2 linked regions of the Lytechinus pictus genome follow. The protein of the gene in region 2 purifies or fractionates together with the protein of the main gene of each other region. This does not show direct contact. Links are inferred from orthologs where the notes say so. Each region holds a gene or a part of one and is shown on either strand. Other genes may lie near its edges.

The links.
Region 1: the proteins of non-lysosomal glucosylceramidase-like (region 2) and 2-hydroxyacyl-CoA lyase 2-like purify together in Homo sapiens (co-immunoprecipitation; 3 studies listed by BioGRID and IntAct, counting the BioPlex papers as one, with this or other methods). This does not show direct contact. The link is inferred for Lytechinus pictus from reciprocal best matches to the Homo sapiens genes GBA2 and HACL2.

What each region holds. Positions count from the first base shown.
Region 1 is NC_087250.1:657,237-674,421, forward strand, and holds the start of 2-hydroxyacyl-CoA lyase 2-like, read right to left. Parts: upstream 8,390-17,185; coding exon 8,366-8,389; intron 7,333-8,365; coding exon 7,174-7,332; intron 5,416-7,173; coding exon 5,245-5,415; intron 3,614-5,244; coding exon 3,475-3,613; intron 1-3,474. Other genes in the region: uncharacterized protein LOC129282369, read left to right, coding at 16,284-17,185. UniProt on the Homo sapiens protein: Endoplasmic reticulum 2-OH acyl-CoA lyase involved in the cleavage (C1 removal) reaction in the fatty acid alpha-oxydation in a thiamine pyrophosphate (TPP)-dependent manner. Involved in the phytosphingosine degradation pathway.
Region 2 is NC_087249.1:11,579,262-11,596,018, reverse strand, and holds the start of non-lysosomal glucosylceramidase-like, read right to left. Parts: upstream 6,396-16,757; 5' UTR 6,002-6,395; intron 3,656-6,001; exon of another isoform or gene 3,586-3,655; intron 3,456-3,585; 5' UTR 3,222-3,455; coding exon 2,875-3,221; intron 1,966-2,874; coding exon 1,877-1,965; intron 1-1,876. UniProt on the Homo sapiens protein: Non-lysosomal glucosylceramidase that catalyzes the hydrolysis of glucosylceramides/GlcCers (such as beta-D-glucosyl-(1<->1')-N-acylsphing-4-enine) to free glucose and ceramides (such as N-acylsphing-4-enine).

The sequences.
Region 1 (17,185 bases), on a different chromosome or scaffold from region 2:
ATCAATGTGGAGACTGCAGCTAAAACTAAGCTTGTAACCGATTTTGCAATCGGCAACCGATTCCATTCGATTTCACCACAATCGGCAATCACTTGCCGATCTTCGATCATGCCCCTTGAAGGAAAAAATCGAAAATAAAAAATCGGCGTATATCTGGTTACGGTGCGTGATCGCTCAGAACATATTTCAAGATTGTTTTTGAGGTGCTAGCTATTTAGAGGTCGCATTATTCAGGGAGAAAGACGCGGTATTATCTATGGCGATGTTTAAGAGGATAGATATCTTCTCTTCCAACTCATGGTGATAGCGGATGCCGCCGTGAACTTTGAAAGGTCGTATTACCGACGGAGCTCACTGCGTTACTCTCTTACATCGTTTATGATTATATACATTTTATTTTCAACCTCGTGGTGATAGCGGATGCCGCCGTGAACTTTGAAAGGTCGTATTACTGACGGAGCTCACTGCGCTACTCTCTTACCCCCTTTAAAATGATATAAATATTCTCTTCAACCTCGTGGTGATAGCGGACCCCGCCATAAACTTTTAAAGACTGTACTATTGACGGAGCTTATTGCGTTACTCTCTTACATCGTTTATGATGATATACATTTTATTTTCAAACTCGTGGTGATAGCGGACCCCGCCGTGAACTTTTAAAGATCGTGCTACTGACGGAGCTCATTGCGTTACTCTCTTACATCGTTTATAATGATATAAATCTTCTCTTCAACCTCGTGGTGATAGCGGACCCCGCCATAAACTTTTAAAGACTGTACTATTGACGGAGCTTATTGCGTTGCTCTCTTACATCGTTTATGATGATATTCATTTTATTTTCAACCTCGTGGTGATAGCGGAAGCCGCCGTGAACTTTGAAAGGTCGTATTACCGACGGAGCTCACTGCGCTACTCTCTAACCCCGTTTATAATGATATAAATCTTCTCTTCAACCTCGTGGTGATAGCGGACCCCGCCATAAACTTTTAAAGACTGTACTATTGACGGAGCTTATTGCGTTACTCTCTTACATCGTTTATGATGATATACATTTTATTTTCAACCTCGTGGTGATAGCGGATGCCGCCGTGAACTTTGAAAGGTCGTATTACCGACGGAGCTCACTGCGTTACTCTCTTACATCGTTTATGATGATATACATCTTATTTTCAACCTCGTGGTGATAGCGGATGCCACCGTGAACTTTGAAAGGTCGTATTACCGACGGAGCTCACTGCGCTACTCTCTTACCCCCTTTATAATGATATAAATCTTCTCTTCAACCTCGTGGTGATAGCGGACCCCGCCATAAACTTTTAAAGACTGTACTATTGACGGAGCTTATTGCGTTACTCTCTTACATCGTTTATGATGATATACATTTTATTTTCAACCTCGTGGTGATAGCGGACCCCGCCATAAACTTTTAAAGACTGTACTATTGACGGAGCTTATTGCGTTACTCTCTTACATCGTTTATGATGATATACATTTTATTTTCAACCTCGTGGTGATAGCGGATGCCGCCGTGAACTTTGAAAGGTCGTATTACCGACGGAGCTCACTGCGCTACTCTCTTACCCCCTTTATGATGATAGACATCTTCTCTTCAACCTCGTGGTGATAGCGGACCCCGCCGTAAACTTCAAATTGATTTGAAAACGCTAGCTACCCAAAACATTTTAATAACATATTTCAAATCATCGTGCGTGCTTGCGTCTTCTACTTCATTTTAATTGCACTTGCGACTTTAAGATGATGCGTCGTAAGAGATCATTCCAATAATTCTAAATCGCTAGCACCTAAAAATACTTCTAAAAGATGTCCTGCCGATCGTTCATTAACCTGTGATCTATGAGAAATATTTTCATTTTATTTTCCTTTGCGCCTTCGCTCGGAAGATGCGTCTTTCGTTTATCTTTCTAATAAAAATCACTCGGTTTATTTTAAAGCAATAACACCTCAAAACCCCTGGCTTTAAAACATGTTCCAAACGATCGCGCATGTTGGCGACTTCCATTCCAATGCATTCGTCTTTGTGACTTTGTCAGGAAGATGCGCGCGACCGCGAACAATATTTTGATGTATTCCTTTGTTTTTAAACATCGCCGATTCGATTTTCGATTCGATTTCGATTTTAGAAGCTTAACTGCCGATCCGATTTTCGATCTGATTTTTGATCCGATTTACAACATTAGCTAAAACACTAAATATGGTAGGGGAAGGCGGGGTAAGTTGAGCCATTATTTTGTGTTTTTGCATGTTAGGACCGATATGACTAATAGTCTTGTACAAGTACCTTGCCGTAAAATTTCATTATTTGGAAACATTTTTTTTACCAATATGTAACTTTCTATCCCCACACTGAAAGGCACCGTCACTTTGAAAAAAAAAGTAAAATGGCTCAACTTGCCCTACCCATGGGGTAAGTTGAGCCACAAAAAAAAATATGTAAAAAGGCTATGGGGCAAAAACCAGCATAACTTTTATTTAAAAAGTATTTTTACTTGGCAGTTCTCTACAAATACTAAAACAAGTTCTGTCTTGTGAACTTTCTCCTTTCTGCCTGCATATGATTGCTTTTTAAGGTGTGTTTGTTTTTATTACCATATGAATTACCATGGCTCAATTTGCCCCATGTTAGCTAGCTCAACCTACCCTCGTCAGTCAAAACTTCATGTGATATTTTCACATCCACATATTACTTTATATTCACTCATCATGTAAAAGACTGTACCTGGACTAACAATATTGTCATCTCATTACCTTATTATATTTAAAGATGAATAATGTGGGTAAAATGCACTTATCTGTTTGATACATTCATACTTTTTGGGCTGAAATTTATATTTTTCCCTCTGAAAAACTATTTTCTGTTTCAATGTTGAAGAGACAATGTGGTGGGGTTAGATGTTATGCAATGGGTCATCAATATGTCACCATCAAAATGTCTGAATTCAAATTGGCCTGGGGGTAGTAGCTCAACTTACCCCGCCTTCCCCTACAGAGGCAATACATACATGTAGGTCTAATGCAGCAAGACTAAGATCTAAGATTATGTGATATTTTTTATTTTAAAAAATGCAATAAAATCTTAGATAAGAAAATCCTGACTATTAAAAGTAAGATGAGATCTCTGCAGCGGCTGATTGAAGTCTCTCTGGATCAAACCAATCAATTTCATTAGCATAACAGTATTCATTCATAGCAGAGATATTAGCTGCAGCTCCGTCAAAATCACATAGAGGAGTTGAAGGATATGACTACAGCTGTTAAGGCCTGTATTCTGAAGTCTAGTTTAACTTACATGTAGGTCACAGGAAGCCAAATTTTTCCTACATTCAAAGTGCTCTTTCATGTTTCAAGAGCAAAAAAAAAAACCAATTCAATTATTATTCCCAGTATCTGAGTGACACATGAGCTGATAAAATGAAGATGTTTGTGACAATTCTTTAGACCAGAGTGCCAACATACCTGGTGTACCAGACTGTGCTATCTGTATTGCTCTTCTCATAGCTGGTATGATATCTCTAATCTGTGATATTGATATACATATCTTGCATAGCGGTTTGAACAATGCCATTTGGTCAATATCTTGGAGTGCTCCACGACCCTATGAATGAAAAAATAGCGTATACAGAAATTATTAGTACAATATACAGCATGTCATAGGAGCAAATAAACTATACTTCAAATAAAAATACCTCACCAAACTATCATAAAATCTATTCAATGTTGAAATAGAAATGTATAGCCTTACTTGTAAATTGTGATGTCATGTATACATGAATGAATGGCATCTCATAGCCAAGTAACTTTAATACCTGATTATTAAGAGAGCATTAATGCTTCTTCATGAAACCATAACAACTCCTTGAACATATTTTTGTGATAAATGTGAAACATGAAAAGTTCACACTGCAATATTTCAAGACCTCTTTCCTTCAAGTCTCATGCAAGTTTTAAGACCAAATTCGCGAACGTGGGAATACGTGGTTCCAATTTTCGAAACACTTTGCAAGTGCATGTCAGACCCAAACTAGCACAAAAACGTGATTTTATGCACAGATCTTTTAATATGTACATGTAGCCAAAAGTGATAAATTTATCATTATGTTTTAATTTTAATGATTAAGAGCAATTGATCTCGAACTCATGCAAAATAGTCCAATTTTAATTTCATTAAGTCTTGCTATTGTTCATAACACTTTTTTTCAAACTGTGAAAGAGGGTATAACATCCAAATTGATGCTGATTTGAAGATCAAAAACAAATTTATACAAATAATAAAATGTTCTTTAAATATTTGATTAAGTTTAATCTATGATTTCAATGTTATGTTAAACTGCTATTCAAGACTGTAATGATGGCACAAACAAGGACACGGGCATTTGCTGGCCTATATTACAGGCTAGTGTTGGTACTGAAAGCGTAATACAGTATAATATCCATATTACCCCCCCAAAAAAAAAAAGATTACCCCCCCCAAAAAAAAAAAAAAAAAAATCAAAATAATAACTCCTACTATATTCATCAGAAAACCATGAACTGCAAGATAAGTCTGGTGATACATTGATCACTTGGTCTTGGTCAACACTGAAAGTTCAAAGATCAAATCCTCAATTGTATTTAATCTATTCTCTATCTGTTCACACAAACAGAACACAGATTGTATGAGAACCTTTGAACCATACTCAGTATTCAATGCTTCTAATGTCAAGATATCACCTAAAACCAATTTGAGCAAATAATATTGAAATCTCTTTTTAGATCAGTAGGTTTATCAATGAGCTCTTTATCATTAATTCAAAAGAAGAAGTTGGCCATGATGCCAAGTAAGTTCTATGAAGATTTAGCACATCCATCAAATAAAAGAATCAGTGAATATCATAGTTTTATTATTTTGATGTCTCATGCAATGTCATATGGCTATGTACAGTTAAATCATTTTCTCTTGACATCATTAAGAATACATCTCTCCCTGAGCAAATGATCTTTCACATTACCCACTTTGGAAAAAGTAACATATTTCTTCATTAATAAATAATAATAATAATAATAATATAGGGTATTTATATTGCGCACATATCCACCTTGTTAATAAATGTTAATAAATATAATAATAAAGGGTTTGTGCAAGCATCAAATTTTGGAATAATTTCTTGACGTATTTATCACTAGCTTTATTTATTTTTTTGATAGCATTCACCCCTCCTAAGAAGAATGAATTCACCCATAACTCACCTTTAATAATGTACCTGCGGCTCCTCCCATTAAGAGAAGAGGGGATTCTGCCATCTGTGCATTCTTGACTGCTGTGATAGTATTAGTAAGACCTGGTCCTGCCGTAACAATAGCAGCTCCAATTACCCCAGATAGTCTAGCTACAGCATCAGCTGCAAACACTGCCGTCGCCTAATCATACAGGTAGTATTAGAAGAGCACTACAAAGTTATCCATATACAGTGCGTCCCAGAAAAAAGGAAACTGAGATTCCCATGTTTTTATTCTTCACAGGCAAATGAATTATGATATCATTTACATTTAATCTTATAATTCAATCATTTCTCTTTATTTTGATACCTAATTTGAGACGAACACTTCACGCATTAATGAGCAAGATGAGTTTGAAATTTTAACGTCAAAACCAGGTTGCGCACAAAAATTTGACAAGATTGGTTTGTGATACGACGATCGTGATTATTCAACGATTGGCTCATTAGCATTTCTTTTGTATTCTTTGTTAAGATTCTCTAACTAATCCCTGAAAAGAGAGTGGATTCAAATTCACACATGAGTTTCTACACAAATCGCTTCTGATATGTCTCAATATTTATTGTTTATATCAGCCATGCTTGAACAATTTGCTAAGCTGTTGTTTTCAAATTAGAGATGAGATTCCAATCTTGCCAAGAGTATAAAATTTATAGTAAAAGCATACATGTATTTAATAATTGTGAAATCTATCTCTAACAAGTGGAATGCCTCTGGCGGTCTCACCTGCATCACGCGATTCAATATAGCAGCAGTGCTGACTTTGAAAACTACTATAACTCGCACAAGATGTTCAGTGATACTTGGTTACTCTTATTTCCAAGTTTTATGAACTAGACCAATACACTTACATAGATATGATGGTAATTCAACAAATATCCCCAACGTGGCCAAAGTTCATTGACCTTACATGACCTTTGACCTTGATCATGTGACCTGAAACTCGCACAGGATGTTCGGATGTTCAGTGATACTTGATTACTCTTATGTCCAAGTTTCACGAGTCAGAGCCATAAACTTTCAAAGTTATGATGGTAATTCAACAGATACCCCCATTATGGCCAAAGTTCATTGACCTTTGTCATGTGACCTAAAATGCGCACAGGATGTTCAGTGATACTTGATTACTCTTATGTCCAAGTTTTATGAACTAGACCAACATACTTTCAAAGTTATGATGGTAATTCAACAAATACCCCCAATTTGGCCAAAGTTCATTGACCCTAAATGACCTTTGACCTTGATCATGTGACCTGAAACTTGCACAGGATGTTCACTTATACTTGATTACTATTATGTTTAAGTTTCATGAATCAGTTCCATTAACTTTCAAAGTTATGATGGTAATTCAACAGATAACCCCAAATTGGCCAAAGTTCATTGACCCTAAATGACCTTTGACTTTGGTCATGTGACGTGAAACTCATGCAGGATGTTCAGTGATACTTGATTAACCTTATCTCCAAGTTTCATGAACTAGGTCCATATACTTTCTAAGTTATGCTGTCATTTAAAAAACTTAACCTTACGTTAAGATTTGGTGTTGACGCCGCCGCCGTCGCCGTCGGAAAAGCGGCGCCTATAGTCTCACTCTGCTATGCAGGTGAGACAAAAACGGGTTTCCTTTTTTGTTGGGGGTTTTTTAGCTTATAAATACAGTGCATATCATTTTCTGTGAATTACTTGAGTATTATGGTAATCTTGTGTTGAGACCCACTGTTGATAAAAATGTCATTCAGGATTTGTGACTGCTAGGTTTTGAGCTGATGGTCTAAAATATTTAATTGTAAGGAGGCTTATTAATTATTTTTCATACATATTTTTGTTGTCCTCTTTTTGTTGTTACAAATAATAAGAATGAACAATTTGAAGAAGTTTTATTATCATAAATAGACTTACCTCATGTCTAGTGTCTATAACCCTTATACCAAGTTTCTCAGCAGAAACATTGACAGGCGATATGTGACCACCACAAAGCGTGAAAAGAAACTTGACTCCATGAGCCTTCAGTGTCTCAGCCACTAACTCTCCTCCTGTACGCTTGCTTGTCTTATCCACCTGCAAGTTAAAATGTCAAAATACATGAAATCACTACCTTGAGTCAAGCAACTACTATCTTACTCACACTCATCTAAAAAGCCAAATGCCAAAAGAAATATACTTTTATTTTTCTAGAATCCAAATTTTATCTTACCCTGATTTTTTTCCAAACGAATGGAAATTATTACAGACCCTTTAACAACTAAAGTAAACCCTAAATTAATTAAGCAGACCAATTAGAATGAAATATAGTCACCCTTTTCATTTCATCTCCCTTTAATAGACTTTGCACACAAATGAGCCATTTTCGGCATGCTGTCTCTTTAATAAGTCACATGACGTCGCGATGCTATACCCGTACAGCTTGAATGTGGTCTTAAAAATTGCACGAGACTTCAAAGAAACATTTCGCGGCATTATCTTTCGCACTTCCGAAATAAAGCACGGGGGACCATCATGCCCCCCGGTCCTTACAGGGTTTTAGGTTATATTGCAAGAGAAATGTATTTAAAGTAAATCTTCGTTTTTGGTCCTTCTATCCTCATCAAACTTGAACAGTTTAAAAATCAATCTAATGAGGATAAACAAAAATTTAAAAAATATTTAATAGTGTCCTTTGCCCAAAGCATTTTTGCAAATATTTGAATAATTACACTTATACTTGAACACTTGAATATTTGAACACTTACACTACACATGAAGGCCACCATTTACAAGCACGCAAAGTAATCTTTGAAGGCCATACAAGGTTATGGCCGCCATTGCCCTCAAAATAGCCTTGATGCCTATCCAAATATTTGTAGACTTACATTTAGGCCAAAATAAGTGCCCTTTTAATTAATGCCCTTTTAATTGATGCCCTTTTAATTGATGCCCTTTTAATTGATGCCCTTTTTTAATGGCCTTGGACTGAAGTACCTAAAGTGAGCACCACCTTCCCTTTCATTTAAGAAATGTCCGTGCCCCTTAGAATTCTTAATTCATGCAAAAAAAAATGTGATATCCACACTTCATTGCTAAAAGTTTACAATATTCATACTACTACATGTACCATGTTGTAATACCATTTGGGCATTTTCACGGTAACTGACATTACACGGCACAATGTTTTCACACCTTTCATGGTGTGTATCTCTAAAAACAACAAATGATGGGAGTTTGCTTTTGATAGAGTTAATAAAGTGAACCTTGCTGTATACTCTGATACTAAGTTTTCCTATGTAACCACATTTTTTTACGCATCAGCAAGCAAAAATGTGTCGGTAACTGACATTACGCAAAAGGACATGCAATTTCAGGGTGTTCATTAAAATTGAGGCATCTCATGTCCCTGAGTAGATAATTTGAATATGTAGGCTAAATATACCTCTGTTACTAGGTTAAGATGTGTCAAAATATTAAACAATTCGTTTTTGTCTTTTGGGGGCTATGATAATTTTTCCACAACCATGCTGGTAACTGACATTACAGTGACTGACATTACACTGAATTTGCCATAGAGATAACACATGGAAGTCAAATGTGTGGAATCATTGCATTGTATCTTCTGTGCAGGGCTTCACATGAAAGTGAGCTTGATGTGGAAGTATACCCAAGTTTCTAGGAACATTTCAATGAAAAAACTCTTTCTTTTTCTTAATTCCTTTCTTTGGTTTGAACATTTTTATCATTACTTGTAGGTAACTGACAAAACACATTAACATTTACCAGTGCTATATGATTTTCAAAGGCATAATTTTCTTAGTAGGTACTTATATGTAAGGCTTTTTAAAATCATAAAAGTTTCATAATACTTCACATTTTTAATTATCAAAAGATAAGAAATGTATGTTTTACTTACTCGGGGGGGGGGGGGTCATAGCAGCTACATGTTTTCCTATAGTAATTTAATATTGCATTGACTGTACACATGGATTTTTCTGACTATACACCCATAATATATTCATCAGTTTTATATTGACTTTTTAAACCTTTTCCTTCTCCAACCTCCCCCTCCCCTCAAAAAAGGCAAAATGAATAAGGGTCTCATCCCCTAGGCTACACGAACCCCTCCCCCGAATCTAATGCAGCCATGTAGTTTTATTGATTTCTATTCTGGTCAGTGCAAGCAATGCTTGTTCATATCTGTCGGATTTCAATTCTCATCATAATTTGTTTAATCATTTTCTTTGCTAATTTCTTTTTTAAGCTGTCAACAAAAAATAAATTCCAGCTTCTAAACTGAAACTGAACTATTTGTAAATTAGAAAAAAAAAACAGTTTTAGTAGATCCATGCAACATCGATCACAACTGTCAAATTTCACTTTTCATCTATACTTGTAAACCCAAAACAAAATAGTATCACACTACTAACAGACCTGTATAAAAACCAGGAAATTACTTTTAGCGAGGCAATGCTCAAAAGAATCCTAGAAAGTAAACAAGTGGAATGCCTCTGGCCGTCTCACCTGCATTACACGATTCAATATAGCAGCAGTGCTGATTTTGAAAACTACTATAACTCGCACAAGATGTTCAGTGATACTTGGTTACTCTTATTTCCACGTTTTATGAACTAGACCAATACACTTATAGAGATATGATGGCGATTCAACAAATACCCCCAACGTGGCCAAAGTTCTTTGACCTTACATGACCTTTGACCTTGATCATGTGACCTGAAACTCGCACAGGATGTTCAGTGATACTTGATTACTATTATGTCCAAGTTTTATGAACTAGACCAACACACTTTCAAATTTATGGCTGTAATTCAACAAATACCCCAATTTGGCCAAAGTTCATTGACCCTAAATGACCTTTGACCTTGATCATGTGACCTGAAACTTGCACAGGATGTTTAGTAATACTTGATTACTATTATGTCCAAGTTTCATGAATCAGATCCATAAACTTTCAAAGTTATGATGGTAATTCAACAGATACCCCCAATTCGGCCAAAGTTCATTGACCCTAAATGACCTTTGACCTTGGTCATGTGATGTGAAACTCATGCAGGATGTTCAGTGATACTTGATTAACCTTATGTATAAGTTCCATGAACTAGGTCCATACATTTTCTAAGTTATGATGACATTTCAAAAACTTAACCTTAGGTTAAGATTTTGATGTTGATTCCCCCAACATGGTCTAAGTTCATTGACCCTAAATGACCTTTGACCTTGGTCATGTGACATGAAACTCAGGCAGGATGTTCAGTAATACTTGATTAACCTTATGGCCAAGTTTCATGAACTAGGTCCATATACTTTCTAAGTTATGCTGTCATTTCAAAAACTTAACCTCAGGTTAAGATTTGGTGTTGATGCCGCCGCCGCCGTCGCCGTCGGAAAAGCGGCGCCTATAGTCTCACTCTGCTATGCAGGTGAGACAAAAAGGGACCCTGGAAATCCCCTTCATCACAATGTTAAGCTTAAAGAATGTTGCAGATTTAGGCAATAGGTTGGGAAAAGTACCCTCTACCACCCCCCCCCCCCCCCCGAAAACCAAACAAAAAATTGTCTGATACAAACAATTAGGTACTTGGTAAGTGCATATGTACAAAACAATTTCATAGTAATTTTTTTTGCACGATGGGAATGCAACTTCCTTCATAATTTCATATAGTAGGCTATTCCTTGTGAACTACACCTGTATACCTTTTAAAAGTCAATAACAAGCTCTTCTGGTGTGACTTTTAAAGTAAAAGACTTAAATAACAAGTATACAATATTTCTTCACCATAAAATTGACCACATATTTGCATTTCAATATTGGTAACCAACGTTTTATCATGGTAACTGACATTACATATATTTAATGGTACCCTATGGCTTCATTGTTAATTAGTAATCTTTAATTTTGGTGTAGAAGGGAGGGGTGTTACCTAGAGAGGAAATCTACCAAGTTTCATATAATACATGTATATCCTCTTTTCCAGGAAATTAGAAAAACAAGTTCATGTTTTCGGTAACTGACATTACATACCATATCACATACTTCATCAATGTTTTTTTATCAGATGAATGAATTACTGGTGTTTCTTTCTGTGGGATTTTAAAAAGTGTTATAATAGCAAGCTAAATCACAGGCGAAAACAACATGATCAAACTTGTTCTTTAAAAATCTGTCAAAACAAAATATGTATCAATATACTATTTTCAACACTAATTTGTATCCATACTTTGGCAGCCATTTTGAAATAAAAAATGGCTGCCAGAGTCGGAAAAAATTTGTCTCAGAAACTTCAGGTCTTGTTTTATTTAAAAACAAAGCATTTGACATGTATACAAGGTACATGTATGAAACAAAACAATCTGACCTGGGATAATTAAACAGTTCAAAGTCTAAAGTGATCACAGATTGATTAAAGGGGAAGTTCACAATGACATCAAATAAAATCACCATGTCCTGTGACTTCCTGAATTTTACAGACCCTACAGGTATAACCATATCGAAAGGTAAAATTAACAAATTACAACCAGTTTTAAGCAGAACAGACAGAAAAATGCAAATTTATTCGTTTTCTTGCCACTTATGTATTTTGCTTGAAAAAAATTGGTTTGAACAGTCTCAGGCAGCAAATGTCAATCAGGATGGTTGCACATGTAATCACATTTTCAAGATTATCAATTTGCCACCCCCCCCCCCCCTCAGATCTCGGCCACTAATCGCTGTGAATAATTTGCATGCACACACATGTAGAGCCAGATGTAAACTTAATAATCTTTAAATATTTTAAATAATTTATTTTACAAATATGTTGCTTTCACTTTATACTGTAATAAAGCTAGTGGGCACGTCATGATCTAGTGGTTCTGACTCTCGCCTTTCAAACAGAGGGTTGTGGGTTCGAATCCTAGCCATGGCGTGTTTTCCTTCAGCAAGAAATTCATCCACACTGTGCTGCACTCGACCTAGGTGAGGTGAATGGGTACCCAGTAAGATTTGATTCCTTGAATCTATCTCTGCAAGTGGACCGTAACACCTTACTGACCTTCGGGCAATTATATTTATATCTTTATACATAGAGTAAAATTCACTGAGCAAAATGCCGAAAATTTCATCAAAATCGGATAACAAATAATAAAGTTATTGAAGTATAAAGTTTAGCAATATTTTGTGAAAACAGTCGTCATGAATATATTCATTAGGTGGGCTAATGATGTCACACATCCCCACTGTCTGTTTTCACATAAAATCATAATTTTTTCATTATTTCATACTTGTGTGAATAACATGTCTCCCTTATAATAAAATAAGTTGCAGCAATAAATATCTAATGCAATAAATCAGATGTCAATCCAATTTTTCTAGTTCTTGGAGGAAATAATTTGAATAATCCTAATTTCATATATAATAAAATACAAAAGAACAAGTGGAGATGTGACATCATCAGCCCACCTAATGAATATTCATGACTGTTTTCACAAAATATTGCTAAACGTTAATAGTCAATAACTTTGTTATAAATTTGTTATCCGATTCTGATGAAATTTTCGGCATTTTGCTCAGTGAATTCTACTCCATTTATTAAGCTATAAACATTTTCAGCCCGGACCATCCCTTTAAGCAAAATCATACGTTAAAGAGAAAAAAAAAGGACATTTCTATGCCTACCTTGTACTTTCATTCAGCTCGGTTAGTACGGTTCAAATGCATGTAAACACTTAGACCCGGACGTACTATACCATAATTGATTGCATGCAGGGCTGAGTCCCATAGCTAATTGCACCGGTTATTTTACATGATTAGCAATACGATCAATTCTAACGTCTTGTGTTATAGGGCCCACCTCTGGCGTGCGGGAATTGGGTTCGCTGGTTTCATAACTCCTTGTTATTTTGTGTCAGAACCCCTTTTCATAAAGTGATTTCTCGAAAAATAAGTCTTCGGCACAGCAAAAACTTAGCATGCAAACCCGTACATATTCATGAATATGCACAGCGAGTTTCATGAATATTCAATGCGGGGTAGAGATATGTCTGGAAAAGGTTCGAGGGCATATTTTGGAGACAAAGAAAATGAAAGTTAATGAGAAATTAAAGCTTTAATTGTTTGATATGATTTTTTTCAGGATCAAATGATATTATCATTTTGGATTAGCCCTGAAAATTTTAGGGAATTTCGATTATTTAGTTAATATAAAATATTAGCAAGCAAATTTTCCATCATAATCCATGAAAAAATTAACTCTTTCTCCAACCGCGTAGCCAGGATTTCATTTTGGAGGGGGCGGTAAATGCACGCAAAGCGTGCCAACACTTTAATACAGAGCGCAAAGCGCGCTCCCTAGGGGGTGGGTGCAGGGAGGGGGACTTTCCCCCTCCCGTGCGAAGCGCGAAGCTTTTGGTGTTTCATAAATTAAAATGAAAAGGAGCCGTCTCTCTTGACTCTAGTACCTATATCAGCTCCAATTCAATTGACTATATTGTGATTTTGAACCTTGTTTTCAAAAGTGATTGTGAACGCACAAAAAGGAATACAATGGAGGAAATTAAAATCATAACCCCGCGCGAAGCGCGGAAGCTAAACCGTTTTATCAATTTTTTTGCCATGAAAAGGGTCCCGAGAAAAGGGTATTCTCAAAGATATATTGAATACTTCCCTTGGAAAGATCAGATTTGAATACAAACAATTTAGCGACAGTGCATATATCTTTAACTCGCCAAACAGAGGAGAAGAAGTGTATATGCCGGGAGGAAGATATTCTTCCCCGCGCAGAGCAATAAACTCTGAAATTTCAAAGGGTGGACATTTCATCAAATATAGATATCTCCAACCAAAAAATTACACGGGGGCGGCGGGCGAATTTGCCCCGGAAAGTCCAAAAAGAGCCCCGGAAAAGGGCTAAAAACATTCACACGAGGGCGACTGCAAAACTCATAATCGCCCCCGTCAACACTGTATATTTATGTAGCATTTCATGCATACGTACGTGATTGCATTTAAATTATACATTATACGTTATATTGCATTTAAATGTGTACTTGTTTGCATTTGCGTGTGACCGCTTATATTACAATCTTGAGCTGTTTCCTACGCGCACACCAATTGTGCTACAAAATCCCAAACTCATTGCCCGACTGCAGTTGCGAACATCACGTATATATGTACGTAAATCACCGCGGAGCTGCCCGCAGAGTCACACAAGCAAATACAAGATACAGTGGCACAATAACATTGCTCATTTCAGCGCACGCGAGTCCATCATAGGATCGTGTCAGCTAAGAGAACTTACCTGTGAATCTCTGTTTACGGGCGTGAATAGTGCATGTGGTACATGTGCCTATGAATTCGAGATGGTACCGGTACGTACTTCTCGCTAGCTCGCGCCGCGCTGCTTCGAAGCTTCGTCGCGATCGCATGTACAGTACACGCGTATGATTACACCGTATATGCTAGCTACCGTGTATATATATACACACACACACACAGACACACACACACAAACGCAAAAAAGCCGCGAAATAGCTCCAGAAATTGTAGCCCTGGAAAGTGGAAAAAGAGCCCTGGAAAATTGTTTTGGTAAGAAGCTGAATATATGAGAAAATTTAATCCTTCAGAAAGGCTAAATTATAGAGAAGATTAAACTTTGGAAAAAAGTGATTTGTTTTGGATTAAACGCCATATAATTATTATAACGTTTGCTTTAATGATCTATCTCAAAGATACCATATCAAATTTGTCAACACGTCAATTTACAGCAGTGCGCTATCTTCAGCATCAGATTTTTCACGTTCATGAGTTAACGGAGGTGCTGCAGTTCGTCACCTTTTATGTCCGAATTTCAGCAATGTTCATTTGTGTCCCGTCATAGAAGTAAGTTTCGTAGATTAATCAGATAATAGGGGAGATAACGTGTTGATTATATAATTATGACAAGAAACTCAAAGAGAGTTATTGACGAAAAACAAGTAAAAATTCATTATAAATGTACACGTGAAAAGAGGTTGAAGTTAGAAGACAATTTTTTGGCTCAAAAGGCTCGTGTGAAATCTAATCACAATTGTCTTTAATGCACATGACGGAAATTTGTGTTATAAAGTAAAAGTTTTAAGATGTCTAAAATCTGAATATTTAATTAATGAAAAGCTTCAGTTGAAAGCTTTGTTTAGTTTTTTGGAAGCAACTGGTTATGTTGGAAAATGTGAATATAAACATTTCCAGGAAGTTTAGTTCAGTTTGGATTCATAATCTAAGCAAAAGCATGAAAATACAAGACTTCTTTTTTTAGTGAGAATGAAGAGGCAAAATATGTGGGTTATTTTCATATTACAAAGATTATATTGTATTTTAAAGCATATCTATGCTTAAGACAAGTTGCTCATTGTGAGGTGAAAGTGCATAAATATAGATCTATACAAAAGGATACAAAAACATGTTCATGAGTCTGATACATGAACATTTGGTGAATTCATGAAGTGTATTTTGAAGAGGTAGAAATAAGTTTCTGGCAAAACTAGTTTTGGTTCATGAATAATTGCATGTGCATTTAATTTAGAGAAAACCAGTTTTAAAAGCTATTAGGGATTTGTTTCGGCATAGTTGGACTCAACTATGCGTTGTTGGCGCCCTGCCAAAATTGGGCATTGATTTTTTATGCCTTTTATATAAGGAGTGATTTTGATAGAAAATAATATTGTCTGCTACATTCAGACTTTCAGTTGGTTTATATTAATCTTAATCCATGCTTTTACTATAAACAATGAAAGTCAATCTTGGTCAGAATATTTAGTAATACTTTGATGGACAAATGTAAATGCATCAAGACCAGGTTACACAAGATATTCATATTTAAGTGCATGTTTTAATTCAGGATGAGATGACTCAAAATATGCTGTTTTGTTTTATCATTTCAGATTGAATAAAATCTACAAATCAACACTGTAGAAATATCTCAATTCCATGGTTCACATCTCGGCTTGTTCTGTACTATCCATAAATTCAATTTCTTCGCATACTCCGGGAATAGTACAAGAAGGACAAGATGGCTGAAAGAGCAGGCGAACTGAAGGTGAAGCGGAGGTCGGCAAAGGGGAAGTTCACAAGGACTTTGAATCAAGTTCAGGCCCTGATGGACAGTGAAAGATCCAGCAAAGAGGTTGATGAGGGTTTTCAGGAATGTCAGAAATGCTACAAAGATCTGGAAGAGAAGCATGACGTATACTGTGAGCTTCTTGATGATTCGGCATATGAATCAGAGCAGGCATGGATAGAAGATTGCATGAATAACTTCATGCAAGTGAAAGCAAAGGTTTGTGACTACCTCGAAAACAATAGCATTGGAAATATCAGCTCTGGAGGAGTAAGAAATGCAACTCAATGTAAGGTGCAGGTTGAAAAACCTAAGTTACCCAGGTTTTCAGGAGATATTAGAGAATATCAAACTTTTAAGTCCGACTTCAAGCATCTCATTGAAACCAGATATGCCGAAAGGGATTGCATAACAATTATGCGTACTAGCCTGCAAGGGAAACCACTGGAAATAATTCAAGGGATAGGAACCGACTATCAAGCAGCATGGGAGCAACTTGATATCATGTACGGTGATCCGAGGAATCTAGCCGATGCTATCATATCTGATATCACAAAGTTCAAGAACTTGAAGGACGGTGAGGATGCAAGGTTCATCGAGTTTGCCGGATTAGTTAGGAGGAGTTACAACACTCTGAAACAGATAAATAAGGAAGAGGATATGAACAATTCTCATATGTTGGCGTTGATAGAACGGAAGCTTACAAATGAAGATCGTAAGATTTGGTTACGTCTGCAGAGGTCACCCACGTTAAAGGGCTTGATGGACTGGATGAGCGAGGAACTACAGACTCGCATTCGGGCGACTGCATCCATTCGAGAAGGAAGATCAGATAACAAGAATAAGCAAGGTGC
Region 2 (16,757 bases):
ATTACAGAAAATACAAAAGAAACTGAGGTTGAGATTGAGATATTTGTAAGCTGGGTATATGCAGAATAATATGCCAATAGGCACAAAAAAGAAAATATACATGTTTACAGAAAATACAAGGACAAATAGGAAAAATAAAATAAGAGGCAGAACAAAATCACACATGAACCAAAGATTGTTCCTCAATTCGGTGGATTCACAATACGGTGCGCCATCTATTGGTTGCAGCTGACAGGCTAAAATTAGCAATGCATCATGGGAAAAAGTCGACATCTGTTACGCATTCTAGTACTAAAGTGAAAGCATGCGATTATTCAGCACTGGCCGACGCGGCTCGACCGGATATGCTATTTACTAGGGTCCAGGAGGTAGGAGAAAAATTTGCCTGCATATTTCTCTGTGAAATTTAGACCTTTTTTGGTGAATTCTTGCCAAATGGTTTTCATTTTTGAAGCACTAGCACTGTGCGCTGCCTGCGACTGCGCATGATGTAACCCCCACAGTTAGAAATTTGGTCTGTTCGCTGCAACCGATAGATGGCTCACCATATTGTGGATCCACCAAATTCTGTACAAATAATGAGAAAAATAATAATAATCTGGTTGTCTATAATGCGCTTAAAGCATATATTGTACATGTCTGAGCAAGAAACTCCAAGCAAATATGTATAAAAAGGGTCAAACATTAAAGTTTTCAATTTTTTTTTTTCCATTTTCAAATATTGAACATAACAACAAACATATGTGAACTTAGAAAACTGGAAAAATGTCATAAGAAATATTTCAATCATTAATAAGAAAAAGAAACAGGAAATAAATGAATCGTTGTTTAAATACACATATTGATAATTTAACAATTTACCGATTATAATTTTGAAAATATGAAAATTAAAATGGGCAACTTATTAAAAAGCAGACGTGGGTTTGGTAGAAAGCCCCTCTGAACATAAATTGTATTCTTAAACATAAGTAATTAGCAGTGTGGGGTTGGGATAAACATGATCATATAAGAAAAACAAATTCAGTTTTTTTATAACAAAGAAAAAAAATTAGTGACACACACATATCTCAACTTACACACATTGAACAGGTTTAGGTATTGTTTAATATAAATTCTGGACAATGAGCCTTAATTAACGCTAGCAATTTTAATTTATGCACTGACAGAGCAATGAAGAGGCCCCTATCAATGACTGACATAGCACCAAACTTGACCCCTTATTCTTTTCTTCTACATAAGGAGGCTCATATCAATGACTGACATAGCACCAAACTTGACCCCTTATTCTTTTCTTCTACATAAGGAGGCTCCTATCAATGACTGTCATAGCACCAAACTTGAATCCTTATTCCTTTCTTCTACGTTGGGAGACCCCTATCAATGACTGACATAGTGCCAAACTTGACCCCTTATTCTTTTCTTCTACATAAGGAGGCTCCTATCGATGACTGTCATAGCACCAAACTTGAATCCTTATTCTTTTCTTCTACGTTGGGAGACCCCTTTCAATGACTGACATAGTGCCAAACTTGACTCCTTATTCTTTTTTTCTACATTAGGAGACCCCTATCATTGACTGACATAGCACCAAACTTGAATCCTTATTCTTTTCTTCTATCTTAGGAGGCCCCTATCAATGACTTACATAGCACCAAACTTGAATCCTTATTCTTTTCTTCTACATTGGGAGACCCCTATCAATGACTGATATAGCGCCAAACTTGACTCCTTATTCTTTTCTTCAACATTAGGAGACCCTATCAATGACTGACATAGCGCCAAACTTGACTAATTATTCTTTTCTTCTAAATTGGGAGAACCCTATCAATGACTGACATAGCACCAACCTTGACCCCCACCCCCAGACCCCACTTACCATATACCGGTTTAAATTTCTTTGGATGTAACACATCAATGAATGGTCTTTTTCCTGCTCGCCGCATTTTAAGGTGTAGTTGGGCATATCTGAAGTATCAAAACAGAATCAACGTCCATTATTGTAAAAGGGATGAGGAAATGCCGTTCAACTATAATCAATCATTGCAGGTGGACCGTTGTGGCCCAGAGGATTAGTATCCGAACTTTGAAACAGAGGGTCTTGGGTTCAAATCTCATCCATGGTGTAGTTTCTTTCAGCAAGAAATTTATCCACATTATGATGCACTCGACCCAGGTGACGTATATGGGTACCTGGTAGCAATCAATTCTTTGAAAAAGGGTGTGCGATGTAAGTAATTACGGCCGCCAGGGTTATACATGTAATATCGAAGTCCTTTGGAAGCGAATATTAAAGAGGTAAAATCAATTCATATCACTTTTCAAATATACATAATGTATCCTTAAACATATCATTCATACCCCCTTCTATTAGAAACATTTTTATTCATCAAGTTCCATTTAAAACAACAGGAAATCAAAATACACGATATAGATGGGGGAGCTGCTAGCTTTAAAAACTTTTACTTTTGAACGTTCATAACTTTCTTAATATTTTTGATGGATCATGTCATCAAACCCGCACCAATATTTTTTATTAAAACCAACATATCATCAAGGTGAACTTCCCATTTTAGAAAAAAAATGAGCTAATTCATCATCAGCTCACTAATTTGCTCCTTTTTTTGCAGGGGATAATACTCTCAAAACAAACATGGACAATTTTCAAGATTTTCATTTTCATGTACTGATTTTTTTCATCTGATTTATCATTTTCATTATTTTTTAAATTCAGGGGTGAAAAGATTGAATCCTTCATACTTTGATTGACTCAAGTCTTATAGTGAAAGGGTTGAAACTCTTGGTATTTTGGATTGACTTTAAGACTAAAAATGAGTGAATTAAAGAGTTTTAAAAAAAAATTAAATCCTTGATTACCTGACCGACGGAAGAACAAAGCTCTTCATCTGGTGTGCTCTGACCCTCATCAATGGCCGCCATTTTTCTTTGTATTTATGATTGAGATGTACCGTCCAAGAGCATTGTGGGATACCAAACTGAGCCAGGTTATCATTTTTTAGGGTATTCCTTGATTGTAAACTGTCGCTTTGTCCCGAATTGTTGCTTCCAACGTTCATCAGGTCTATTTCGCTGTCTAAGCCATTCAGGTCTTGGTCCTCACTTTCATAGTCTCCATTTTGGTCTTCATTTTGGTCCTCATTTTGGTCCTCATCTGGTTCCGAGTACTCCTTGTCCATTATGACATCATCAATGGCAGCGGCCATTCTGCCAAGGTGTTCACGCTAAGCACCAGGAAAGGGAATCGATCTTCCTTTATCGACTGCCTTCCTCCATAAATTCACACCAAAAACACAACACTGCACATTTAATAACATGAGTCAATGCATGGAAAATTCTCTAAAAAACATCACAGTTCTGCTAATGACGACCATCAGTATACCACTTCCTGTTTCTTTCATACAGTGTGTATAAACTACAATGGCTGAACCTCTGCATACCTGTAATATTAAGAGATAAAAGGAGAGAAGCAAGAGAGAGATAGAGACAGTAATTGGTGATTAATATACAATAACATTAATGCTTTAATACACTACAACAAAGTCAAATTGTCAATATTACAATGCATACCTATCTCAATCTGTGCATTGTATATATTGTCATGCACCATAGGATCCCAGCTACATGTACATGCATGTGTATCACATGATCAATTCAAAACAAGCTGCTTACATAACTTTGTAAAAGTTTATGTAAAATGAACTGAGAGAAAAATCTGTCAAATGGACATACATGTACTAAACAGCAAGTTCGTACTGGATTCTTCGGACCTCTGATGTGCTCAGGCCAATGTTTATTAAAAACCAATGTATTGCAATACAGACACTCTTTAAAACCCGCCTTTAGCTTTGAAAAGGGGTCAATGTGGGCTACACTTGAGTATATTCTAACATTACAATATCATACATGCCTACCAGTAATTGAATGCATTTTTATCCATTAGAATTTAATTATCCTTGCCATTACAAATTAAATTTGAGTCAAGTGCCTTCTCTCGATAATGTTTATTATTACTAACAAGTGGAATGCCTCTGGCCGTCTCACCTGCATCACGCGATTCAATATAGCAGCAGTGCTGATTTTGAAAACTACTATAACTCGCACAAGATGTTCAGTGATACTTGGTTACTCTTATTTCCACGTTTTATGAACTAGACCAATACACTTATAGAGATATGATGGCAATTCAACAAATACCCCCAACGTGGCCAAAGTTCTTTGACCTTACATGACCTTTGACCTTGATCATGTGACCTGAAACTCGCACAGGATGTTCAGTGATACTTGATTACTATTATGTCCAAGTTTTATGAACTAGACCAACACACTTTCAAATTTATGGCTGTAATTCAACAAATACCCAAATTTGGCCAAAGTTCATTGACCCTAAATGACCTTTGACCTTGATCATGTGACCTGAAACTTGCACAGGATGTTCAGTAATACTTGATTACTATTATGTCCAAGTTTCATGAATCAGATCCATAAACTTTCAAAGTTATGATGGTAATTCAACAGATACCCCCAATTCGGCCAAAGTTCATTGACCCTAAATGACCTTTGACCTTGGTCATGTGATGTGAAACTCATGCAGGATGTTCAGTGATACTTGATTAACCTTATGTATAAGTTTCATGAACTAGGTCCATATATTTTCTAAGTTATGATGACATTTCAAAAACTTAACCTTAGGTTAAGATTTTGATGTTGATTCCCCCAACATGGTCTAAGTTCATTGACCCTAAATGACCTTTGACCTTGGTCATGTGACATGAAACTCAGGCAGGATGTTCAGTAATACTTGATTAACCTTATGGCCAAGTTTCATGAACTAGGTCCATATACTTTCTAAGTTATGCTGTCATTTCAAAAACTTAACCTCAGGTTAAGATTTGGTGTTGACGCCGCCGTCGCCGCCGTCGCCGCCGCCGCCGCCGCCGCCGTCGCCGTCGGAAAAGCGGCGCCTATAGTCTCACTCTGCTATGCAGGTGAGACAAAAATAGCGGTTTTAGCATTTCCTTTACATATAAAATGGATTCTGACAAAGATTACATCCTGAAATCTTCAGCACATTCAATGCTAATATGCTTTTCACACTGCATTTCCTTAACCCCATACTATCCTTAACCCCGGACTATCCTTAACCCCATACTATCTTTTTTTCGATTCACACTGTCTTTCTTAACCCCATACTATTTGCTTAGCCGGGGTTAACACCTTAACCCCGGGCAATCACACAGCTCATTAATATTGATGATTTTACCATACAGAGCGCGATTAACGTGCAATTTCGACTTCTGTGATTGGCTAATGCTTAGCCCCACTTTTCCTTAGCCCGGTTTCGATTCACACTGCATCTCTTAGCACCGCAATTGTGGTGCTAGCACCGCAATATGCCGGCTAAACCTGCTTTTTTGCAGGGCCAGATAGTACCGTACTATTTACCGTGCTAGCCCACTTTGCTAAAACGTAGTGTGAAAACGAAGTGGGCTAAGCTTAACCCCGGGAAATTGGTGGGGCTAAGACCCCCCCTTAGCCCCACCAATTTAGGACAAAAAGTGCAGTGTGAAAAGCATATTAGATGTTTAAAATAAACAAGAAAAAAATATTCACACTTGTTACAAGAACCACAGATAATGGAAATATCATTCATTCATCCATTGTTCTGTAAAAAGAAAATGATCATACCTCTAGACATTTTAATTAGTCTTTCACAGCATAATTTGCCCCCCAAAAAAAATTATGTGGGTTTTTTTCAATTCTACATGCGACTGTATTACCATTCATGAATGAGTAATCCTCCTAAAAAGCATTTAAAAATGGCAAACAAACATTCATGTCTGAAGTCCACGATTATTTCCATGTACTATATCAAATAGCTTTGTTAAGCACTTAAGCACACACCAAATGTTTTTCTCTTGCACCTTTGCAGTGTGAAAGACAACAAAAGGAAAATGATAATCCCACATACTGTACATGTACATACATGAAAGCAAACTTGCTTGTAAAGTCCTTGAATGATAAATTCCTTGTACAGAAGAAGTAGCTGCAACACAACTAAATGAACACATACAACACATGAGCAAAGATCAACACAGACACTGGGAAAGATCCTCGACTCATCCACTTGCTCGCTCGCTCATCAGCCGGCTCTATGAGTTGATACCAGCTTGTGCACTATGACAAAAGCTAAGATAGTTAATGTGTAACTAGTACAAGGGAGGATCCACCAAACTGACTGATGGAAGAAGATTTGATATCTAATCTCAACGATAATGAGGCTATTGTGGAGCCTCATTAAAACAGAAAAGGATGTTACACGGCTTTAGCCGAGGAAATGACTGGAGATGATACAAGGCAAAGCTTACAGCTGTGGAAAGGTTGTTTGCGACTTGAGGATCAAGCATAAAAAAGGGCAACATGAAGATTAGATATTACCCAGCAGGAAGTGATAATCATTTCATGGTTGCATCTTTTCCTCTCTTAAACAATCTCTCAATCTTTCTGCAATATATATATTTTTGCTTTTCTGTATATTGCCTCTAGCCCTCTACAGTACATACATCCATTTGATGAATTATCAGTTGTTTTACTACCACTTGGTCTAATAAATTCTCGTTCGTCCAACGTCACATGTTCAAAAGCCATTACGTCTACATGTACAACCAATTTTTCTGTTGTCTATTTCGTCTAATTTCAACTTAGTCCAAAACCTAATTCGTCTAATGACCAGATGGGCTATTATTTGATCTAATTCCCAGTTGGTCTAACACCACTTGGTCTAAATTCCACTTCGGCTAATTTCCACTTCGTCTAATTTCCAGATAGTGTAACATTGACTTTGTCTACATGCCACTTGGTCTAGTATTCATTTGGGCTACACCCAATTTGGCTAATATCATATGGGATCCGTTTCATAAATAATAACAAATTTGCAATAACAGTTTCAAGCTACTGAAATTCTCCAATCTGATTGGCTGATGGTAAATTTGTTATAGAAATTGTGCATGATCATAACAAGTCTTTATGAAACCGAACCATGATGTTCTTATCACTTTATAGTCTAATTGCCATTTGGTCTAATAACCAGTTACAGTGTAGGCTACTTATCATTTAGTCTTATTGACATATGGTTGAATGACTGTTTGGTTTAATGTCCATTTAGTCTCATATATGGTCATGGATAAATGAATTCAGATTCAGATATTTTTATTGTCCAATTGCGATCGTGTACAAATGGAAATTCAATTTGTTCGCACAAAATAATTTAGAATATCACATGATACACACAAAAGATTACACGATACATATAGTAAACATTATACAAATCAACAAGCAAAGATAAGAGAAATTAAGATAAAGGCAGGAAGGGGGGGGTAATTAAATTTCAAGTAAGGCTATTAAATGCACGGATTGAAACTGGAACGAAAGAATTTATGAAGTGTGAGGTTCTGCCGGGGAAGGGATCTCAGACGTTTGCCTGACCTCATCAAATTATATTTATGGAGAGCATGGTTTCATTGGTCAGGACCTCTTTAGCATTTTAAAGGACTCTACCTTCATTCTTGTCTACAAAGCACCCTTTTTCTTTTGTTATTTTAGAGGCTTGCTTGAATATAACATGCAGCAGTCAATGCCTGCCATCAGGAGGGGTAGGGTGGTGGTATACACACAAAACCTCTCTATGCAGTCCTACTGATGGCAAGATAGTTGCTCAATGCTTTATCATAATGAAGTATGATTTTCATAATATGTAATACTGATATATATATCTGTGATGCTGAAAATTATAACAATACTCATCAGAAGAATAAAGACATATATTATCATTATTAGTAGTAGTAATTGTTATTAATATGAAGCCTAGACACAGTATTGTTCTACTAAAGTACTACAGCAGTAGATCTAGTAGTAGTAGTTGTAGTAGTAGTAGTAGTAGTAGTAGTAGTAGTAGTAGTAGTAGGAGTAGTAGTAAAAGTAGAAGTAGTAGCAGTATTAGTAGTAGTAGTAGTAGTACTAGTAGTAGTAGTAGTAATAGTAGTAGTAGTAATAGTAGTAGTAGTAGTAGTAGTACTTAGTAAAAGTAGTAGTAGTAGCAGTATTAGTAGTAGTAGTAGTAGTAGTACTACTAGTAGTAGTAGCAGCAGCAGCAGCAGCAGCAGCAGCAGCAGCAGCAGCAGCAGTAGTAGTAGAAGGAATAGGAATATTATTATCACAGCAATCACCGTCCTTATCATCATCATCATCATCAAGTGCTATAGATTCTATTTTTGTGTGAACAATATGTTGGGGAGATAGCAGCTTATAACGGCGGAATGGCAGGGGTTTCATCAGAATTACATGATTCTTACTTCTTAAGCCTGAGTCAAATCGATTTTAAAATCGATGTTCGATCGACGTCATTGAACGCCGGTGCAGATTTTGCAAAATCGGTGCATCGAACAAACAAAAAAAAAGTGGAACGCCTCTGGCAGTCTCGCCTGCATTACGCGATTAAATATAGCAGCAGTGCTAACTTTGAAAACTATTATAAAATAATAATTTACAAAAACACCATTCATATAATGACATAATACCACATTCATTGACCATAGATGACATTTGAACGGTGACTTAAGACTTGTCAATTACACCCATGTCCACATTTCATTCCCTCTATCCATAAACTTTCAAAGTTATGATGGCAATTCAACAATTACCCCAACATGGCCAAAGTTGCATATGGTGCGCAAACTTTCTCTGCCTCAGCACCTTCTCTCTGGAATAATTTGCCTATATATTTAAGAATGATACCATCACTGGAGACCTTCAAATCTAAAGTGAAGTCTTATCTTTTCTAACAGTATTAGTTATTGGCACTTTGACACTCATCCAAACTTTCTTTCTTTCTTTTCTTGTGCGCCTCGGAATAGAATATTTCTAGATAGATGGCGCTATATAAATGCCTATTATTATTATTATTATTGACCTTAAATGACCTTTGACCATGGTCATCTGACCTGAAACTCGTACAGGATGTTCAGTGATACTCGATTACTCTTATGATCAAGTTTTATGAACTAGATCCATACACCTTCAGAGTTAGGATGGTAATTTAACAAATACCCCCAACACGGCCAAAGTTCATTGACCTTAAATGACCATTGACCATGGTAATGTGACCTGAAACTCGCACAGGATATTCAGTGGTACTTGATTAACCTAATGTCCAAGTTTCATGAACTAGATCCATAAATTTTCAAAGTTATGAAGGTAATTCAACAAATACCCCCAACTTGGCCAACGTTCATTGACCCTAAATGACCTTTGACCTTGGTCATGTGACCTGAAACTCAGGAAGGATGTTCACTAATACTTGATTAACCTTATGTCCAAGTTTCATGAACTAGATCCATAAATTTTCAAAGTTATGATAGTAATTCAACAAATACCCCCAACTTGACCAAAGTTCATTGACCCTAAATGACCTTTGACCTTGGTCATGTGACCTGAAACTCGAGCAGGATCTTCACTAATACTTGATTAACCTTATGCCTAAGTTTCATGAACTAGGTCCATATACTTCTAAGTTATGATGTCATTTCAAAAACTTAACCTTCGGTTAAGATTTTGAAAATAATTCTCCCAACATGGTCTAAGTTCATTGACCCTAAATGACCTTTGACCTTAGTCATGTGACCTGAAACTCAGGCAGGATGTTCAGTAATACTTGATTAACCTATGTCCAAGTTTCATGAACTAGGTCCATATACTTTCTAAGTTATGATGTCATTTCAAAAACTTAACCTTAGGTTAAGATTTGATGTTGACGCCGCCGCCGCCGTCGGAAAAGCGGCGCCTATAGTCTCGCTCTGCTATGCAGGCGAGACAAAAAATACGTCGGCCGGCCGATTCATTTGGTTCACACAATCAGACATCAAAATAAACAGTAAAATCCAACTTGACTACTACTTACTTCATTTATATTGCCCCCAAAATGAAACCAATTGTGTAATTATGATGCCTATTCACCATTAATTTAAAGTTTATTTCGATCATAGTTCGAGTCTTACTCGTCTGCTCGTGCCGAGATAATTTATGCACGATGAATTTATGAATGGAAGTCACCATTCATCCTGCATGCGCAGTACTGTGCTTTAATCAAATCAGAAAATGGCCGGAAAATTGATTTGATCAACGTAAAGTAAATCTTGCTTTTCATGAACAATATTAATATCATGACGATAGAACATGATTTAATCGTAATATTCAACAATAATTTGCAAATGATAATCATTAATATGAATTTAGAGCTTGATGTGAAACGTTTGTATTTCGTTTCAATTTTCAATGGCGGACATCACATGACGATCGACTTGAGTGAGTGCACTTGTCTAAAAAAATAATTATCACGTCAGGATTGATTATCGAACATTGTCCTTAATATTGTTTCATTTTAAACTTATATGTTATCATCTGCAAATATCATTGTTGAAGATATTTTGGGAAGAATTCTGCATTGCTCCCCGGCCTTTTTTGCGTTTTGTGATCATGGAAAATACAAACGAACTTTGCTCTGTCATTTGCTTTTGCAACGCTCACCCGGACAGCGCAGACCGTCAGTGCATGTAGTGCATGCATAGCGCATGCATCGACGGCCGGCCGGAGCAAAAAAAAGACTCGATTTTCTCCGCCTTCAAATTTTGATGCATCGATGTTCGATCGAATTAAAGCTGTCGAACACCGGTTTTCAAAATAATCGATATGACTCAGGCTTACTATGAAGAAAAGAATGAAGATTTCATAATGTAATGTATCGTGTGGATACGTATCTGGTAAACGTGTTAAGGCCTTTATATGATTATTGTTATGCACCATTACAGATGATACTTGAACTTGAAGAAAAGTAGGCATACAAAAAAATAGTTTGTGTAGTATTGTGGGTTTCTAAAAATTATAAAGCCATTAGATCATCTAATTTTGTTTTGAATAATTTTGTAATTTTTGTTAGTAGTCATTCATCTTGCCTTCTCATTCTGATTAATTATACGAGTACCGGTAGGTATATTTCTATTCCTTCCCCAATCCCCTCTAATTTCTAATTTACAATAACATTACAGAAAATGTATAACATAAAGCCTAAAGCAGACAACATGCGATGCAAAAATGAATTCATTCAGTGTTCATGGTCAACCATGAGAAAGAAACACACAAATAAACTATAGGTAGGTGAAGGCCTAACTATAGGTGAAAGGGGGTACCCCCAACAGGCCATTAGCCCCGGGGGGCCACTTCCATTGACGAGTGGATACCATGCACGACCATGGGGTCTCGAAAAGCACCCTAAACACGTATTTTCCATGTTCTGAAAATACACCCCTTAACAAGTATTGGTGTGTGTGAAACCCTACCCTTAACAAGTATACAATACTCTTGGCAAGTATTCCCTGAATTGACCCCCTAAACAAGTACAACGATATTTTTATTGTTATGTGCACTGTCGTCGGTTTTACCTGATTGGGTTTAGTACAGCCCCTGCACCTCCCACATCTCGCGCAAAATCATACTCTAAACACGAAGTGTTGACTCTTGGGGCAAAAAGTACATCCTTTATAAAACATTTTAGTCTTAATTTTTTACACCCTCGCAAATTTGACCCTAAACACGTAGCTTTCCTAGCGAAAATAGATACCCTTTTTTCATTATTTTAGTGTTTTTGACACCCTTTATTACGTTACGTACGTAACGTGCCCTATCTTGAAAAAGACATCCTTTTTACGTGTTTTTTTGGTCATGCATGGTATCCACTCGCCAATGTAAGTGGCCCCCCGGGCCATTAGCCCAAGTGGAAATGAGACAAATTGATATTTAGACACATTGGCAATTAGACTTGAACTGCACATCAAAACAAAAATGCAATATAGACAAAATGAATAATAGACTAGTGGGATGAGACGAAAAAGCAGAACTTTAGACCAACTCGTATTATTAGACTAACCGATAATTAGATGAACTGGTAGTAGACCAATCGTATTATTAGACTAAAACCGATAATTAGACAAACTGGTTTAGACCAACTCTTATTATTAGACTAACCGATAATTAGACGAACTCGTTATAGACCTTTATTAGTAGATTATCCAATAATTAGACGAACTGGTGTTAGACCAACTCGTATTATTAAACTAACCGATAATGAGACAAACTGGTATTAGACTATAAAAAATGCAATTGTACCAAGTGGCAATAAAACACATTAGGTGAAATGAAAATTAGATCAAGTGATGATTAACCCAAGTGGCCATTCGACCAAAATATAGCCTCGGTCTCGATCGGCCATTTTGTTTTGAATTTTGAAAGAAGGAGAGGTATCGCAGCAGAACTTTTCATTTTTTGAGGTTCCAGTCTGTGCCTCAATGTCAGGATTTGTGTGTCACGATAGACCTTCATCCATATAATCGTGGTAAGTGTATAATTTCTGTTTCCACATTTTATTAAGATTAAGATTACTATTGAGACCCCAATCTACCCCAGTGTCTCCCTCGTTTTGAACGGTCGACTCCCGAGTTATTATAAATTGTGTGATTTTACATGAACAATTTATTTTGATCAGTTGCCGAATAAAAACAAAATATCTATGTGGTTTTTCCATGTGATATAAAACCTATTCCAAAGCATGGACTGGGCTAGACAAAAAGCTTCGGTCCGTTATATTGGTTGTTCCGCTGAACTCTGTTGGCTCCGCTCAACAATTACAAAGACCGAAGTTCTAAACTCGATCTGTACAGGGACTTGATGGCCATATGTTTATGTATTCAGTTCGGATAAACCAGGGAAGTGGAGTTGCGCGACAGCCGAACTAAGTCACTGTTTTTTGTCCTTTTAAGTTGATTTTTTCCCGTTTTGGTGCATTTCAGGCCAAAACGGAATAATAATCTTTATTTTGGTCTAGTTCTTTTAATATATTTTTATGACATAATTAAGACAAAAATCGATGAGCCCCGTCGGGTGATTTTTTACATTTTGCCCCTAATGGCGGCTGCACGATCGCGAGCCGTCTGTGTACGAGGAGAAATACATAAAAATGTAAAACAAAACTCCTCGAAACAGAGAGAATTGGCGTTTAAAAAGAGATCAGATGGCTACTACAAGTTTTTAAGATTGGAAGAATAGACATGACACACTTGAAACTCAATTCACACTAATGACCTTTTACCAAAGCTAAAGACAGGTTTCAATCTGCCTGGGTTAAATTCATAGTTGTAAAATAGCCTTAAAAACTGACATACTGAAGCTTTCCAACCTGCACTCATCGGAGTATAAAAATCGCATGAATGATTAAAATGCTAGAGCAAAACAATATATAATAGAAACGTAACCAGACAAGGGACGCTAAATGGCGAGCCGTTTATCATGCGATTTTACTCCAATGAGTGCATGTCGAAAAGCTTTGTATGTCCGTTTTTAATTAAGGCTATTTTACGATTTTGCAGTACCAAATTTATAGTTGTAAAACACATTATCAATTCATACCCTTCACACAAACAGTTATGATTGTAAAGGATAAATGAAAATGTGTTTTACAGTATAAAATTTGAATGCAAAAGTCACTTTGAGCTTGAGAAAATGTAATTCATTACAAAGTACCAGTAGTAAGACGGCTGAAATCCATCTTTTTTTAATGAGAAAAAAAATGTGAAAAAATTCCTCGAAACAGACAGCTGCCAGCTGTCTGGGCCCTAGTAATAGTATTTTTACTTTCTTGAAGCGCTATTAACACTGAGAGGTGTACTTGTGTGCTTTATAAGTAGCAACTATTGTTATTTATATTATCAATATCATCTTTATTGTTAAAATTCCTTTGTATGGCAAGTTCCCCCAAGTCTGTGCGTATCTGCGCGATTAAATTAAAAAAATTAAAGTAAAACTAAAAGAAGATATGCAACGAGTACGAACTTTACACATGCAATGCATAGACAGGTATTGATAAAAAAATCCAACTCAAAATGGTGGTAAAATAATGAATTTAGGGCACTTAATGTTACGACCTCAAAATGCAGCCTTTCTCATCAAAATCCCTGAATCGTGTGCAGAGTGAATGAGTGCGCAGACATGGGGTACCATTTTTTTTTTCAATCTGAAAATGACTGCCCGAGGTTTTTTCAAGAAAATCCTATATTTTCTTTCATTTTTTTAATGAGAAATTTGGTACACTTACTCTTGATAATATAAGGAACATTATTAACTGAAAGATTTTGTGAAATATGAAGAAATTCATGTTAAATCTTAACTTAAATTGTTAGGTGCGCAGACTTGGGGCCCTCCATCATTACGCCCATCTATATCTATACCCAGTACCCTACACGAACTTACATTATGTGGGACACACGTATTTCCAGTATTCATAGAGCAGAGTGGCAGAGCGGAGTCAGCAGATTGTTGAGAAGAATAAACAGCTAAAACCTTGTTCAATTTTTCCTGCTGCCTGGACTTTTCGAACTGGTTTACCAGAGAGACAGCGAGAATTCAAGATCTAACAAGTTTGAGTACCGTTCGGTAAATATAAACTTCAGATTCTAGCCTCAGACAAATGTGGTTCATGCGATGAGCTTGGCTGAGCAAATTTGACCGCCGCGATGCATGTGAGCGCGGCGCACCCACTTCAGCCAGCCGGCACTGGCGGCGGCGTAACCCAGAGAGCTCCGGACCGCTTCGCGGGCTGGAGCCTGACGACAGATGCATTTACTAACATTACATGGATACCTTCAAGGTTGGGGGTTGGGTACAAAAAAACACCCAAATTTAAAGAAAAAAAAGAAATCCTGCACGCACCTCAATTTTATCTATGAAAGTTTAATAGACAGCAGAATCCTGACATCATCGAGCTCGAGGCAGTTGCCAGACCACCGACCAGGCCAGGGGCAGGGTGACCAGATATTACAAATTATAAAATAGGTGTATTATTTCAAGCATCGCGATTGGCCAATACGCGTCACATGACACCCAACTTTTTTGGTGCACTGCACGGTCGTGCAAAAGGTGCAGGTGCGCAACGAAAATTGACATTGCACGCTCAAGCAAACCAGTGCGGTAGAAGTCCCGGGAGAAGTCCAACAAAACTGTACTGTAACTTTTCAAGAATTTGTTTCTGTGTTGCTATTTTATAAAACAAATAATGCACTTGCTCTGTCGTGCGTAAAAGTAAATGCAGAGAAAGCTCGGTTTCTTCAGATGGTGCACGCTGGGCACTCGCCGCCAGCGGCTCGTGCACAGTGCGGCACCTATCTAAAGAAACCTCGCGTGCTCTGCATTTCCACTAACGCACTCGGCTGCATGCATTATTTGTATAATGATATAGGGCCAACGCCCGGGCAACGGTACAATCAATTGACCAAAAAGATCAACATAAAAGAAGGATACACAGTGTTAATAGACTTGTGAAAAAAATATAAAGAATTGGAAGGGACTTTAAGGGATGGTGAACAAAAGAATGAAGGAGAGAAAGAAAAGAGATGAATTCGAATTGAGAAGAAAGAAAGAAAAAATGAAGGGGAAAATGAAGAAAAGATAAAAAGAATAAAAGAAGGATGAAATTAAGAGAAAAAAGGTTTCTGTCATTCTTTAAATTGAATATAAAAAGAATGAAAAAGAAAGGAAGGGAAGATGAATAAATGTGTGAAAGACAAAATAAAGGAGAGAAAGAAAAAAAAGTAAGTAAAAAGGAGGAAAGAAAGAATGAAGGAAAGAAAAATATTTCCTTCATTCTTTGAAAGAAAAACAGAAAGGAGTGGAGGAAGGGAAAGGTTAAGGGAAAAGAATTAGAAGGAAAAATAAAATAAAGAATGAAAGAAAGAAAGAAAGAAAGGAGGAAAGAAAGGGAGGAACGAATGAAGAGAGGAGAGAATGAAAAAAAAATAATAATAATGGAAGGAGAGAAAGAACGAAAAGAAAAAGGAGAGGAAGGGAGAAAGAAGCAAAGAAAAGTTTTATAAGGGAAGGAAATAAAAAAAGAAAATTTAATAAAGAAGGCAGGTAAAAGAAAGAAGGAAAGGAAGAAAAATGACCACAGAGAGAAAGGATCAGGAAATATAGGAAATAAAGATAGATATTGGAACAAAAAAGGGCAAGCAGGAAGGATAGAAGGATGAAGAAAGAAGGATAAAAAAAAGAAAGAAAGAGGAAAAAAGTTCAAATTTCAAGCAACAAAAACAATCCAATCATCTAACCCAAATCATAATGATATTTGGTGTGTTTTAAATATATTTTTAAAATTTTAAATAATTAAAATGTTTTAGAAATGAATAAAATTTCAAAGTGAAACCTTGTCAACTTAAAAATTAGATGAAAAATCGCGGCATCATATTAAGACTCAAAACGAAAGCTGAAACAACTAGATCTAGTTATGAAAACTCAACTTGTTCCTCCGATTATATCTCCAAATAAGTAATCTGAGAATCCATAATATAATTATACAAATTTTCCGCTGACCTTGTGATTATTTGGGTGGAAAAACTGTTTATCATGTCATTGTTTGCACCAATTAGAATCTGCTCCGATCCTACATGTACATGCCTAGAGAATAGCTTGCCACACACAGGCAGGAGGCCAGTTCGTTTGCAAAAGTTTAGTTATTTTATTTTATTGTTGTCTCTGCTTCTTCATCTGTTGGTTAGTTGATGAAAATTTGTTACTATTAAATGTATTAACTACATTTTGTTCAATATTCTGAAATACGGGACAAATAGGCGTCCCGGGAAGGATTT